Stegostoma tigrinum: one gene and its partners. The protein of the gene in region 3 binds, or shares a complex with, the protein of the main gene of each other region. Links are inferred from orthologs where the notes say so. Each region holds a gene or a part of one and is shown on either strand. Other genes may lie near its edges. The genes, in order: phf10, actin-like protein 6B and AT-rich interactive domain-containing protein 1A-like.

The links.
Region 1: AT-rich interactive domain-containing protein 1A-like (region 3) and phf10 share a complex: the UniProt entries of both Homo sapiens proteins name them as parts of the neural progenitors-specific chromatin remodeling complex. The link is inferred for Stegostoma tigrinum from reciprocal best matches to the Homo sapiens genes ARID1A and PHF10.
Region 2: AT-rich interactive domain-containing protein 1A-like (region 3) and actin-like protein 6B share a complex: the UniProt entries of both Homo sapiens proteins name them as parts of the neuron-specific chromatin remodeling complex. The link is inferred for Stegostoma tigrinum from reciprocal best matches to the Homo sapiens genes ARID1A and ACTL6B.

Annotation. Positions count from the first base shown.
Region 1 is NC_081362.1:87,911,426-87,915,173, reverse strand, and holds the start of phf10 (PHD finger protein 10), read right to left. Parts: upstream 2,368-3,748; 5' UTR 2,354-2,367; coding exon 2,204-2,353; intron 1-2,203. UniProt on the Homo sapiens protein: Involved in transcription activity regulation by chromatin remodeling. Belongs to the neural progenitors-specific chromatin remodeling complex (npBAF complex) and is required for the proliferation of neural progenitors.
Region 2 is NC_081398.1:8,382,411-8,386,158, reverse strand, and holds the start of actin-like protein 6B, read left to right. Parts: upstream 1-1,322; 5' UTR 1,323-1,361; coding exon 1,362-1,416; intron 1,417-1,523; coding exon 1,524-1,600; intron 1,601-3,748. UniProt on the Homo sapiens protein: Involved in transcriptional activation and repression of select genes by chromatin remodeling (alteration of DNA-nucleosome topology).
Region 3 is NC_081377.1:32,757,674-32,761,421, forward strand, and holds the start of AT-rich interactive domain-containing protein 1A-like, read right to left. Parts: upstream 2,764-3,748; 5' UTR 2,387-2,763; coding exon 1,379-2,386; intron 1-1,378. UniProt on the Homo sapiens protein: Involved in transcriptional activation and repression of select genes by chromatin remodeling (alteration of DNA-nucleosome topology).

The DNA of each region.
Region 1 (3,748 bases), on a different chromosome or scaffold from region 3:
ACTTCAGCTCCTATGTCTCATGGTCTTAATATGGCCTCTGAAATATTCTGACAGGACCTTGTACATCCATTGCATCAAAGGCCTCACTTTAATTTTTCATCCAACATATAGCATGCCCAATTCTGCTGCCCTCCCTCAGTACTGCACTGGAGAGTCAACTTTGATTTTTGTCCTTGAGGTCAAAAGTGGGACTTGAGACAGGGGTCCTGTGATTCAGAAGCAAGAGTGCTATAATTGAGTCACAGTACAGTCACAAGAAACTCAAAAATAAAACAGACAATTTGTTTGGCTGGATCCTTCAAGATGCTCAGCAAAATCTCTCTTTGAGCAAACATTGGTCACTTGTCCCCATGTAACCTTATACAGCTCAGTGTCAAATTTTGCTTTATAGCTTTCTGCAAAATCACAGATATTTTGTTAAGAGAAATGCTGTCCAAATTGGTATGCTGTCTGACCCAGAGTGCTTCCTCTACATAGCTAGGATTTCAAACATCTGTAGTATTTTGCTACTTATTCCCTTTTACTGAAATAACAAGGGATTAAATAAAAAGTTTGAAAAAAATTGGGGGGGGGAAAAAAGTGAATTTTCCAATGAGTGGCAATCTCCACTTTTATGCAACAAAAGCAGTTCGCATTTCTGACAGATTCTGATCAGGGTTCCTTCAGAAATGTGGAGCTGTATTTCCATTCTGACAGATCTCGCAAAGTGCAGAAGTGTTAGGGGAAGGCAACTCACACTCCATTTCTCAAAGTGGTCAACAGGTGTATTCTGAAGTGTGAAGGTTTAGAATCTCAGGCAGCCATTGACAGCTGGTGCCAAACAGCAAGTACGTAAGACAAAGTCAGAAGTCACACTACACCAGGTTATGCTCCAACAGGTTTATTTAAAAATCACAAGCTTTCAGAGTGCTCCTCCTTCAGCAGGTAGCCACTCCACCCTGATGAAGGAGCAGCACTCCGAAAGCTTGTGACTTTAAATAACCTGTTAGGACTACAACCTGGTGTCATATGACTTCTGACTTTGTTCACCCCAGTCCAACACTGGTATCTCTATTTCATATGCAAGGCAAGTGTGGGGTAGGATGCCAGAAGGCTAGGAATATCAGACGGGTCGGGGACACAAAGGTCCAGGTATATAAGATGCCAGATGAGTGGGGTACCAGGTAAGTGGAGTGTTGAGGGTAGGTGGGAGATATCAGATTGAGGCATGGTCTGACTGCAGGACAAAGTTGCAGTTAGATCCAGCAGTGGGGATGGGGTGACTTGAGGCGCGCGCACGCGCACACACACAGGGAGGTGTCAGGTCTGACGACAAGGGGAGATGTTGGGTCTTAAAGTGGAGGGGAAAACAATGTTAGATCAGGGTCTCGAAGGCGTTGAGAGTATGAAGGAGATATAGTATGGGTGTGTGAGGCAAGTGGGATGCAATCAACCAGAGATGTCTTGACAGCCAGCAGCACGGTGGTTAGCACAGTGCCAGATGGGCTAAATGGCCTGTTTCCACTCAGTAGGGATTCTATGATTATCTCTGAAGCAGGTGGAACTTGGACGAGGGAAAGGACACTACCGCTGCTGTCACAAGAAGGCCCCTTTTTCAGTCTGATAGTTACTCGGCCGTTAAGAATGGACATTTAATAACTTTTCCTGAATGTCTACTTGTTTAATCGAAACCCCCTGAATTCTCCAATTTAAAGGGACAGGGATTTTCCAAAAGAAAAGTCAACTTCCCGGGCAATTCCTTCAGAGTGTCCTACACTGAAGAGTTTACAGGGTCCCCTTAAACAACTCGCACCTTCAATTCAGAAAAGGTTCTGACCATCAGAAAATCTGGGCCAACGTTCAAATTATGAATTTAAAAAAAAACATCCTAGGAATCGTGATGATTTAACTTTACAAATACTGAACTGGGAGGTAGAGATGAACAACTGGTGACAGGACCCTACTTTGAACAGTTTGAGAATAGAGTATGTAGAGACCTCACCGCGCGCGTCAGTACCAGCTGGCTGTGCTGAGCGAGAAACACAACATCAATCGGCCGCTCTGCTCTGAGCGGACGGTTTATTGCACTTGAACGGTCCCAGTTTCAACCCAGAGATCGGATAAAATCTACAACGACGATCGTACATCTTCCCCTTCCCACATGCTGGGGGAACCATAACAACACCAGTCCGAGCACCGTTTCGCCGCAGCCTCAGTCACCCACCTTGCTGGACTGTACTCCCGGAGTTGCTGGGTTACTGTCGCACAGGCGACTCGACGATACCGCGGCGGCCATTTCAACTGCAGTGCGCTGCGCTGCCGGGAGGCAGACAGGCCGACCATTAGCCTTCCCGCGCAAGGGGCGCCCCAGCATCGGGTTCAACTCCAGGATCCTCACGGTCGGCCCATCAGAAGCTCTTCTCCTCCACCACACCCTCCCCCCCCCCTCGCCGAGACCTGACCGCTGCCTTCCGCAGAAAAGTGTCCTCTGGTCTTAACACAGGGAGAAATAACGGACGGTTTACGGACAGAAAAGGAGTCGAAGGCATTGCAAGCTTTATTTTCAAGTGTGAAATGTCTAGAGGTAGATGATAATAATGAATCTGAACCAGAAGCAGCAGTTTATCTTACAAGATACAATGCATCGAACATCCTTCCAAACCAACGGACCATTAACATGGACCAGGGCAAAAAAAACCAAAACGATAAAATTCGATGCAATAATACCGATTTAAAAATTGATTTTAAAGAAAGTGCACGTTTAAGATTACAAAGTAAAAGCAGAACTCCCCTAGCAAATATGAGATTTATCGTCTATTTTTAATTGATGTTGAGGAGGGGGTGGTGAAACCGAGATAACAAAGTGTGGAGCTGGATGAACACAGCAGGCCAAGCAGCATCTCAGGAGCACAAAAGCTGACATTTCAGGCCTAGACCCTGAGAAACCTCAGACTTGCAGGTTTGAGGAACTAAATGGACAACAATTGTTGTTACGTTCCGATGCTGATTGAGTCAGCAGAACTTTTTCAATGTGGGATAGTAGTAACTGCCGATGCTGGAGTCTGAGACAACAAGGTGTAGAGCTGGATGAACATAGCATGCCAAGCAGCATCAGATGAGCCGGAAGGCTGACATTTCGGGCCTAGACCCTTCTTAAGAAAAAGTTCTAGGCCCGAAACGTCAGTTTTCCTGCCCCTAAGATGCTGCTTGTGTTCATCCAGCTCCACACCTTGTTATCTCTACTTCTTCAAGGTGAGCATGCCTAAAAGAGATGTGGCAGTGAGTTAAATACTAAATAAAACCTGAAAGAACTGTGGATGGTGTAAATTAGAAACAAAAACAGAACTTTCACGAAACGCTCAACAGATCTGGCAGGATCTGTGGGGGGAAAGCATAGTTAACGTTTCGGGTCCAGTGACTCCGTTCTGAGGAAAGGTTTGTGGACCTGAAACATTAACTGATTTCTCTCCAAAGATGCTGCCAGTTCTGCTGACTTGTTCTAGCAACTTGTGTTTTTGTTTCGGATTGAGTCAGTCACTTGTGGTACAGGAATCCATTCTTTCTGCATCTTTTGCCCAGTACTTGTACTGCCAGCGAATGGTGGATTCTGCTGGTCTATCTTATCCAAATGTTTTATGATCTTGTAAAGTTCCATCAAATCTCCCACAATTACCTGCTCAAATAATACCCCCATATTTTCCCAGATTACCTTGTAGAGAAAATTCCTGGTCAATAGTAAATGTCTTCTACACATTCTCAATGATCCTCA
Region 2 (3,748 bases), on a different chromosome or scaffold from region 3:
ACAGGCACTGGGAGGTAAACTAGTGACCATGCTGGCAAAGTGCACCTAACACAGTTGGTTAGTACAATAACAACATGCATTTACATTGTGCCTCTAACTTAGATATCCCTGAGATATTTCCTAAGAACGATCTCAAACCAAATTTGAGGCACTAAGGGGCTAGAAAGGGCAGCTCTGTCAAAAAAGCTGATTTCAAGGATCATCTCAAAGGTGTGAGAGAGAGAGAGAGCGACTGAGAAATTTAGGGAGGGAATTCCAAAGGTTAAGGAGTCAGGCCAGCTGAAGGCATGATCGCCAATGATGGAACGATGGTAATCAGAGGGTGGGCAAGAGGCTAGGATTGCGGGACTGCAGATATTTTGGAGGTTTATGTGGCTGGAGGTGCTTACAGAGATAGTGCGGGCAGTGAGGTATTTGAAAACAAGCATGAGGATTTTAAAATTGAGGTGTAGACAGATCTTGTGGATTAGCAAGGTCACAGGGTGATGTGTGAGTGAGATTCGGTGTGAGAAAGCAAGATGAGAGAGTAAAAATGCAGTAAGTTCCTTTTATCCATTAATGGGATGAGGTTATGACTGGCTGAGCCAGCATTTATTACCCATCCCTAATTGCTCAGAGGGCAGTTCAGAGTCAATCACATCGCTGTGGGTCTGGAGTCACATGTAGGCCAGACTGGGTAAAGACAGCAGATTCCTTCCCTAAAGGGCAGTTGTGAACCAGGTGGCATTTTCCCCAACAACTGACAATGCATTCATTGTCATCATTAGATTCCTAATTCCAGACATCTTACTGAATTCAATTCCACCATCTTCTGTGGCAGGATTCAAACCGAGGTCCCCAGAATTTTTTCCACGTCTCTGGGTTAACAGTCCAGCAATAATACCACTCGGCCATTGCCTCTCCTGCATTTGCTGGGATGTTGCCAGAAATGAGAGAATTTTACCTGAGGAAAGGTTGGAGTTGAGTTCTTTGGAACAGATGCTGGGGGCAGATGCATTGGAGATGTAGGCAGTGGTGAGGGGCTTGGAAAGTGTGGATAGGAAAGTTGTATTGCTTTACTAGACAGGTCAGTAACTTGACAGCAGAGACTGGAAGTAACTGGTGGCAGGGTTAGAGGGTTGTGACAGCCTGGAGCTTGAAAGGCTGCCAGCCAGTAGAGCACTGGAACAGGAGGAGGCCTTTCTGTCTCTCTTGTCTGCTGTCAAAGCTCGGTCAAAGAGAAAGGCTCAGAATTAGAGCGATTATAGAAAATAAATGGGCTCACCAGAGGAGTGGGTGGGCAACGTGGGCTTGAAGACAAGGGATTTCTGGTTAATTGCAGGAGCACAGCTCAGGATTAATGAAATGTCTAATAATACCAGATGCTGGTATCACCACCATTAACCAACGCTTCATGCCCTGTTGCTGTCTGTACAGGTAACTGGTGCTGCATGTTCTGTTATACTGAATGGACCATTAACCCACGCTGTGTGTCCCATCACTGTCTCCAAATGCTGCAGCTAATTGTGTCTTCTCTCTGTCAGATGAGGTGGGGGCTCTTGTGTTTGACATTGGCTCATATACTGTGAGAGCTGGTTACGCTGGAGAAGACTGCCCCAAGGTACGGTATTGCTACTCATTTCTTTCCTTACGTTGTTGTGCCTTATCTGCACCTCATTCCTGCCACCCTCTGCTGTCTGTCCCTCTCTTTACTACTATCTGGCAGTTACCTGATCCAAGGTGCCCCAAACCTTGCTGCTTCCAAGATACACATACACGTACCTTACCAGTAGAGTGCAGAGAGGAGTTGCAGAGTCATAGAGATGTACAGAGCGGAAACAGACCCTTCAGTCCAACTCTTCCATGCTGACCCGATATCCTAAATTAATCTGTCCCATTTGCCAGTATTCGGCCCATATCCCTCTAAACCTTTCCTATTCATATACCCATCCAGATCCCTTTTAAATGTTGTAACTGTACCAGCCTCTACCACTCCCTCTGACAGCTCATTCCATACACGCACCATCCTCTACATGAAAATGTCGCCCCTTAGGACCGTTTTATATCATTCCGCTCTCATCTTAAACCTATGCCGTCTAGTCTTGGATTCCCCTACCCTGGGGAAAAGGCCTTGGCTTTTCACCCTGTCCATGCCCCTCATGATTTTATAAACATCTATAAGGTCACCCGTCAGCCTCTGACACTCCAGGGAAAATAGCCCCATTCTATTCAGCCTCTCCCTATAGCTCCAACCCTCCAGCCCTGGCAACGTCCTTGTAAATCTTTCTGAACCCTTTGAAGTTTAGCAACATCTTTCTTATAGCAGGGAGACCAGAATTGAACATAGTATCCCAAAAATGGCCTAACCAATGTCCTGTACAGCTGCAAGATGACCTCCCAGTTCCTGTACTGAGAACACTGACTAGTGAAGGCAGGAGAACCAAATGCCTTCTTCTCTATCCTGTCTATCTGCGACTCCACTTTTACGAACCTGCACTCCAAGGTCTCCTTGTTCGGCAGCACTTGATAGGACCTTACCATGAAGTGTGTAAATTCTGCCCCGATTTCCCTTTGCAAAATGCAACAATAGAATAGTGGGGCAGGCTCGAGGGGCCAGTTGGCCTACTCCTGCTCCTATTTCTTATGCCCTTAATAAAACATTCTCTATCTCAGACTTAAAACTAATAACTGATTGGCATCAACTGTTGTTTGTGAAGCTGAATTTGAAACCTTTGGAAATACTTTCAAACATCTCTCCTGAATAGTCAGATTGTGCACACTTGTTCTAGAATCTCTATTGACCCTGGCTCAAAAATGCAACACCTCACACTTATCTCCAGGTCCCATGTTAGTCTGACGTAACTTCCCTCACTGGGCACTTGTAGAAATGAGTGTAAAAATAAGAACCTTACCTGTGACAAAAGGTTGGGATTTGATTCCTTGGCACAGGGGCTGAAGGTAGATTTGGTTGTGGGGTATGAAGTTATGATGGACTTAATAGGAAAGATATATAGCGGACAGATCAATAACCAGGCAGCAGAGACATGAAGTAAGGAGTTAAGAAGGAATTGTTTTCACCCAGGGGGTTTACAGGAGATGTAAGGGAAAACCTTTTCACCCAGACCATGGTGGGAATCTGAACTCACTGCCTGGTAGAGGCAGAAATCCCTCGTATTTAAAATGTTATAACTTCCATGTGATGTAGGTGTCTCTGGCACATTATTGCCCTTGAGAAGGTGGAGGTGAGTTGCCTTCTAGAACCATGATAGTCTGTGTGGTGTAGGGACACCCACAGTGCTGTTAGGGTAGACAGAAACTTTTCCCGGCTGATGGAGGAATCAATGTTCGGGGAGCATAGTTTGAGCTAAGGGATAGAAGGTCTAGAGCAAACGTGAGATTAAAGAAAACCTTTTCACCTGGAGGATGGTCCAAATCTCGAACTCACTCTTTGTGAGAGTGGGAGAGGTGGAAACCCTCATAACATTTAAGAAGTATTCAGATGTGCACTTGCAATGTCAAGGCTGCGGGCCAAGTGCTGGGAAGTGGGATTAGAGAGTAGTGAGGTGGTTGTTTTTGACAGGCATAGACGCGATGGACCAAAGGACGTTTTCTTTGCTACAGTTCTCTGTGACTCCACACGTATTTGATGGGGACAGGTGTGTAGAGGGAGTTTTCCTCTGTATTTAACCTCGTATTGTACTTGACCTGGGAGTCGTTGATGGGCTAAACGTAGAGGGAGCTTTACTCTGTATCTAACCCTGTGCTGTCC
Region 3 (3,748 bases):
TCCCTGTCATCACACAATGGGGCTGTGCATGCTGACACGGCCGATATTGTTTGTGGTGCTGTCCCTGTGCAGTCAGCTGCTCAGCATTTCAAGGTCAGGAGCTGTTTCCACAGCATCTCTTGCCCTCTCCAAGCTAAGCCTGTGAAACAATGGCCATTACCTGTATTTATTTTTCCCCCCTCCCTTACACTCTGTTGTAATGTGAACCATATTCCAGTTTATGAGCTAATCAGGTTGTTTTGCCATTACATCAGAGGCAATTATAAATGGCCAGAAGCAGCAGCTGAAGAGCCAATCAGATTACAGATAGCATGTCACCCTAAGACCAACTGTCTCCTGGCTTTGACAGAAGGATTTTACCTCCATAATTCAAATCCCAAACCCGTGCAATCTGCACTTACTCAAATCACCAGCCTGTGCATTAGTACCAGCTAGTACTGGCAAAGTGAACCAACTCAAGGTTGCATGCACTCGAGGCGGTGGAGACGAGAAAAACAACATGGGGGGGGGGGGGGAGACAGAGAAAGAAACAAGGAGGTGGGAACGGTAACGGAGGTCCATCAATAAACAGCATTAAAATAATCAGACAAAGCAGCAAACAGTGCTCGAGCACTTAAATAAGGGGAGAGAAATTCACTGAGATCAAAATCCTAAAACAAAGAGAGCAGCCAGTACCTGAGCCACAGATCATGCAGCAAAACCCTAGTGCTCTCACAACCTGTTTTGCTCAACTAAACTCACCCAATCCTTTACAGACTTTTTTTGTACAGGAGGGACACTTTTTGAAGTGAAAAGCCTACAAAGCTTGGGAGGTGAGGGGAAGCTGGTGGTGCAGGAGGACGAAAAAGAGGTCAGAACTGGGGAGGGAGAGGAAAGCTGTGTTGGGGGCAGGGGGAAGAGAATGGAAGGGGTGGAGAGAACTGGGGAAAGCGAGGAGGGGGGAAAATGAGAGTGAGGGGAAGGGGGGAGAGAAACGGGGAGGGGGAAGCTGAGATGTGAGGAGGAAAGGAAAGGGACAGCTGGGGTGGAATGGAGGAGGGGAACAGGGAGGGGTCAAAGTGGGAGAAATGAGGGAGAAAGAAGTGTTGGAAAAAAAGGAGGAAGAAAAAAAGTGGGGAAAATAAAGGAGGGAGGGAGAACAGCTCTTCCAGTTCGGGTTCGGGCCTCACTTTACATAATTTATACCGAGACTGCTGCTCCACTCGCACAAAGCCGGCCATTTTAGAGCGGATTCTTTGTATTGAGAGAGAAGCACAAGCACGGCCCTATCCACCTCCCTCCCCCAACCACATACACACACCACCAACCATTAACTAACACTGCCATCACCACTCTTCGCCCCTGGTTACACTAGTTAACCACTAGTTAGCATTTTTACCTGAGTCCTAGGCAAAGGCTGCCCGCTACTCCCGGGGCTGATGGGCGGATGGTGGCTCCTTTGTTGCGCTGCTGCCCAGCCCGAGCTGGGAAACTGGGTTCCCAGCTCGCCTCCCTTGGCCAGCTCCTGGCTGCTATTGTAGTCCTGGTGGGCCTGGTTATAGTTAGTAAAAGCCCGGGCCCCACTCGGGGAGGTGAGCAGCTGGTTGAGGGTTGGGGTACTGGACGCCGTCTGCGGTTGTTGATGCTGTTGGAGGCCGGGGCCCTGCGCCGACTGCTGCTGTTGCCCACCAAAGCGCTGGAAAGAAGCGACCATACCCGAGGCCAAGGCTTTAGGCCCAGCAGCCCCGGCCCGCGGCGAATTGAGGCCGTAACTCTGGTTCATGTAGCCACTGCGGGCCGCCGGATAAGACGTGGTGTAGTTGTTGTAGTGCCCGGAGAAAGCCTCGTGAGAGTTGGGCTGGAAGGAGTCGAGGCCGCCGGGTTGTAGCGCTGCCCCCATGCCGGGGCTTTGTTGTCCGCCATGTTGGTGGAACGGGCCCCGGTAATGGTTGTAACCGTAACCGGTAGGCGGCACGGCGCCTGGGCCGGGACTGGGCCCCGGGTTCGCGTTGCCCAGGGGCACGGCACCACCGCTGCTGCTGGAATGGTCGAATCTCTGGTCGCCGCTTAGAAGAGCCAGGCTGGTGGCAGTAGCCCGTCCGGGGTCTGGCTCCCCGGAACCCGCTCCGCCGTTACTCTGCTCTGAGGAGGAGGCCCCGTCCTGCTCGCCGTGCGGCGGGTGGCCGCTGTCCTCGTCGCTGTGCTCGCCCGGCACCGGGGCCGCGCTCAGCCGGTGGTTGCTGAAGGTCTCCCTAGCGGCGGCGCCGGGCTCCGAGCCGTTGCCCGGCAGGTGATGCTCCTGCTCGGCGGTGGGGCCGGGCCCAGTCCCCGGCTTCAGCGCCGCCAGCTCGCCGGCCTTGGCCTGGCTCATTTCGGTGTCTCTGAGGGCGCTGACCGGAGCGGCCATTGCTGCCCGCCGCCCCGCGCGATCCCCCACCCCCACCCCTGGGCCTCGCCTCGCTCGCTCGCTTTCGGTGGGTCGCTCCCTCCCAGTGCTTGGCTCGGTTCGGCCCGGCGGCCCCGATACCCGCTCCCACTCTCGGCCGCTAGGCTCGCTCGCTCGCTTCCCCGCCCGGCCGCTCGGCTTGCTGACTCTCGGCTCCCCGACTTGCCCTGGGCGGTGGCGCTCAGACGGCCGCACTGCCGGTGCCGTTGTCGGTGGCGCTGCCGCTCCGCATGGCTGGGTGTGGGTGAGCACGGCAGCCCGAGCCCGTCTAACGGAGCCTCGGGCCCAGCGCAACACGCGGTCTGACAGAACTACTAGCCATGTTGTGTGGGGGGCGGCGGCAAAACCCGGAGCGGAGCGGGAGGGGGAGGGGGAGGGGAGCGGAGCCCGGCCTGGGGGAGGGGCCAGGGATGGGGGAGGGTAGGGAGAATATTCCGTCAGTCAGCATAAGGGAGTGTTTCTCTTCCCTAACACTCCCGACATTGAGAGCCTTAGCGTACGCTTCCTCAAACATTGAGACCCCGACACTGGGTACACTCCCCTGACAGTGAGACCCCGACACTGGGTACACTCCCCTGACAGTGAGACCCCGACACTGGGTACACTCCACTGACTGTGAGACCCTGACAGTGGGTACACTCCACTGACTGTGAGATCCTGACAGTGGGTACACTCCCCTGACAGTGAGACCCCGACACTGGGTACACTCCCCTGACTGTGAGACCCTGACACTGGGTACACTCCCCTAACACTGAGACCCCAACAGTGGGTACGCTTCCCTAACATTGAGACCCACTGGGTACACTCCCCTAACATTCAGACCCCGACACTGGGTACACTCCCCTAACATTGAGACCCTGACACTGGGTACACTTTCCTAGCATTGAGATCCCAACACTGGGTACACTAACCCCTAACACTGAGTCCCCGACACTGGGTACACTCCCCTAATATTGAGACCCTGACACTGGGTACACTCCCCTAACACTGAGTCCCCGACACTGGGTACACTCCCCTAACATTGAGACCCCGACACTGGGTACATTTCGCTAACATTGAGACCCCAACACTGGGTACATTTCGCTATCATTGAGACCCCAACACTGGGTTCATTCCCCTAACATTAACGCCCCAACACAGGATACCCTCTCCTAACATTGAGACACTCATACACTCCACACTCCGTTACATTGAGACTCCAATGCAAAGTACACTCCCCTAACAGAGATCCCAACACAGGCTACACGCCCTTACATTGAGGCCGTGACACGGAGTACATTCCCTTACATTGAGACCCTGACACAGTGTACACTCCCCGATTTT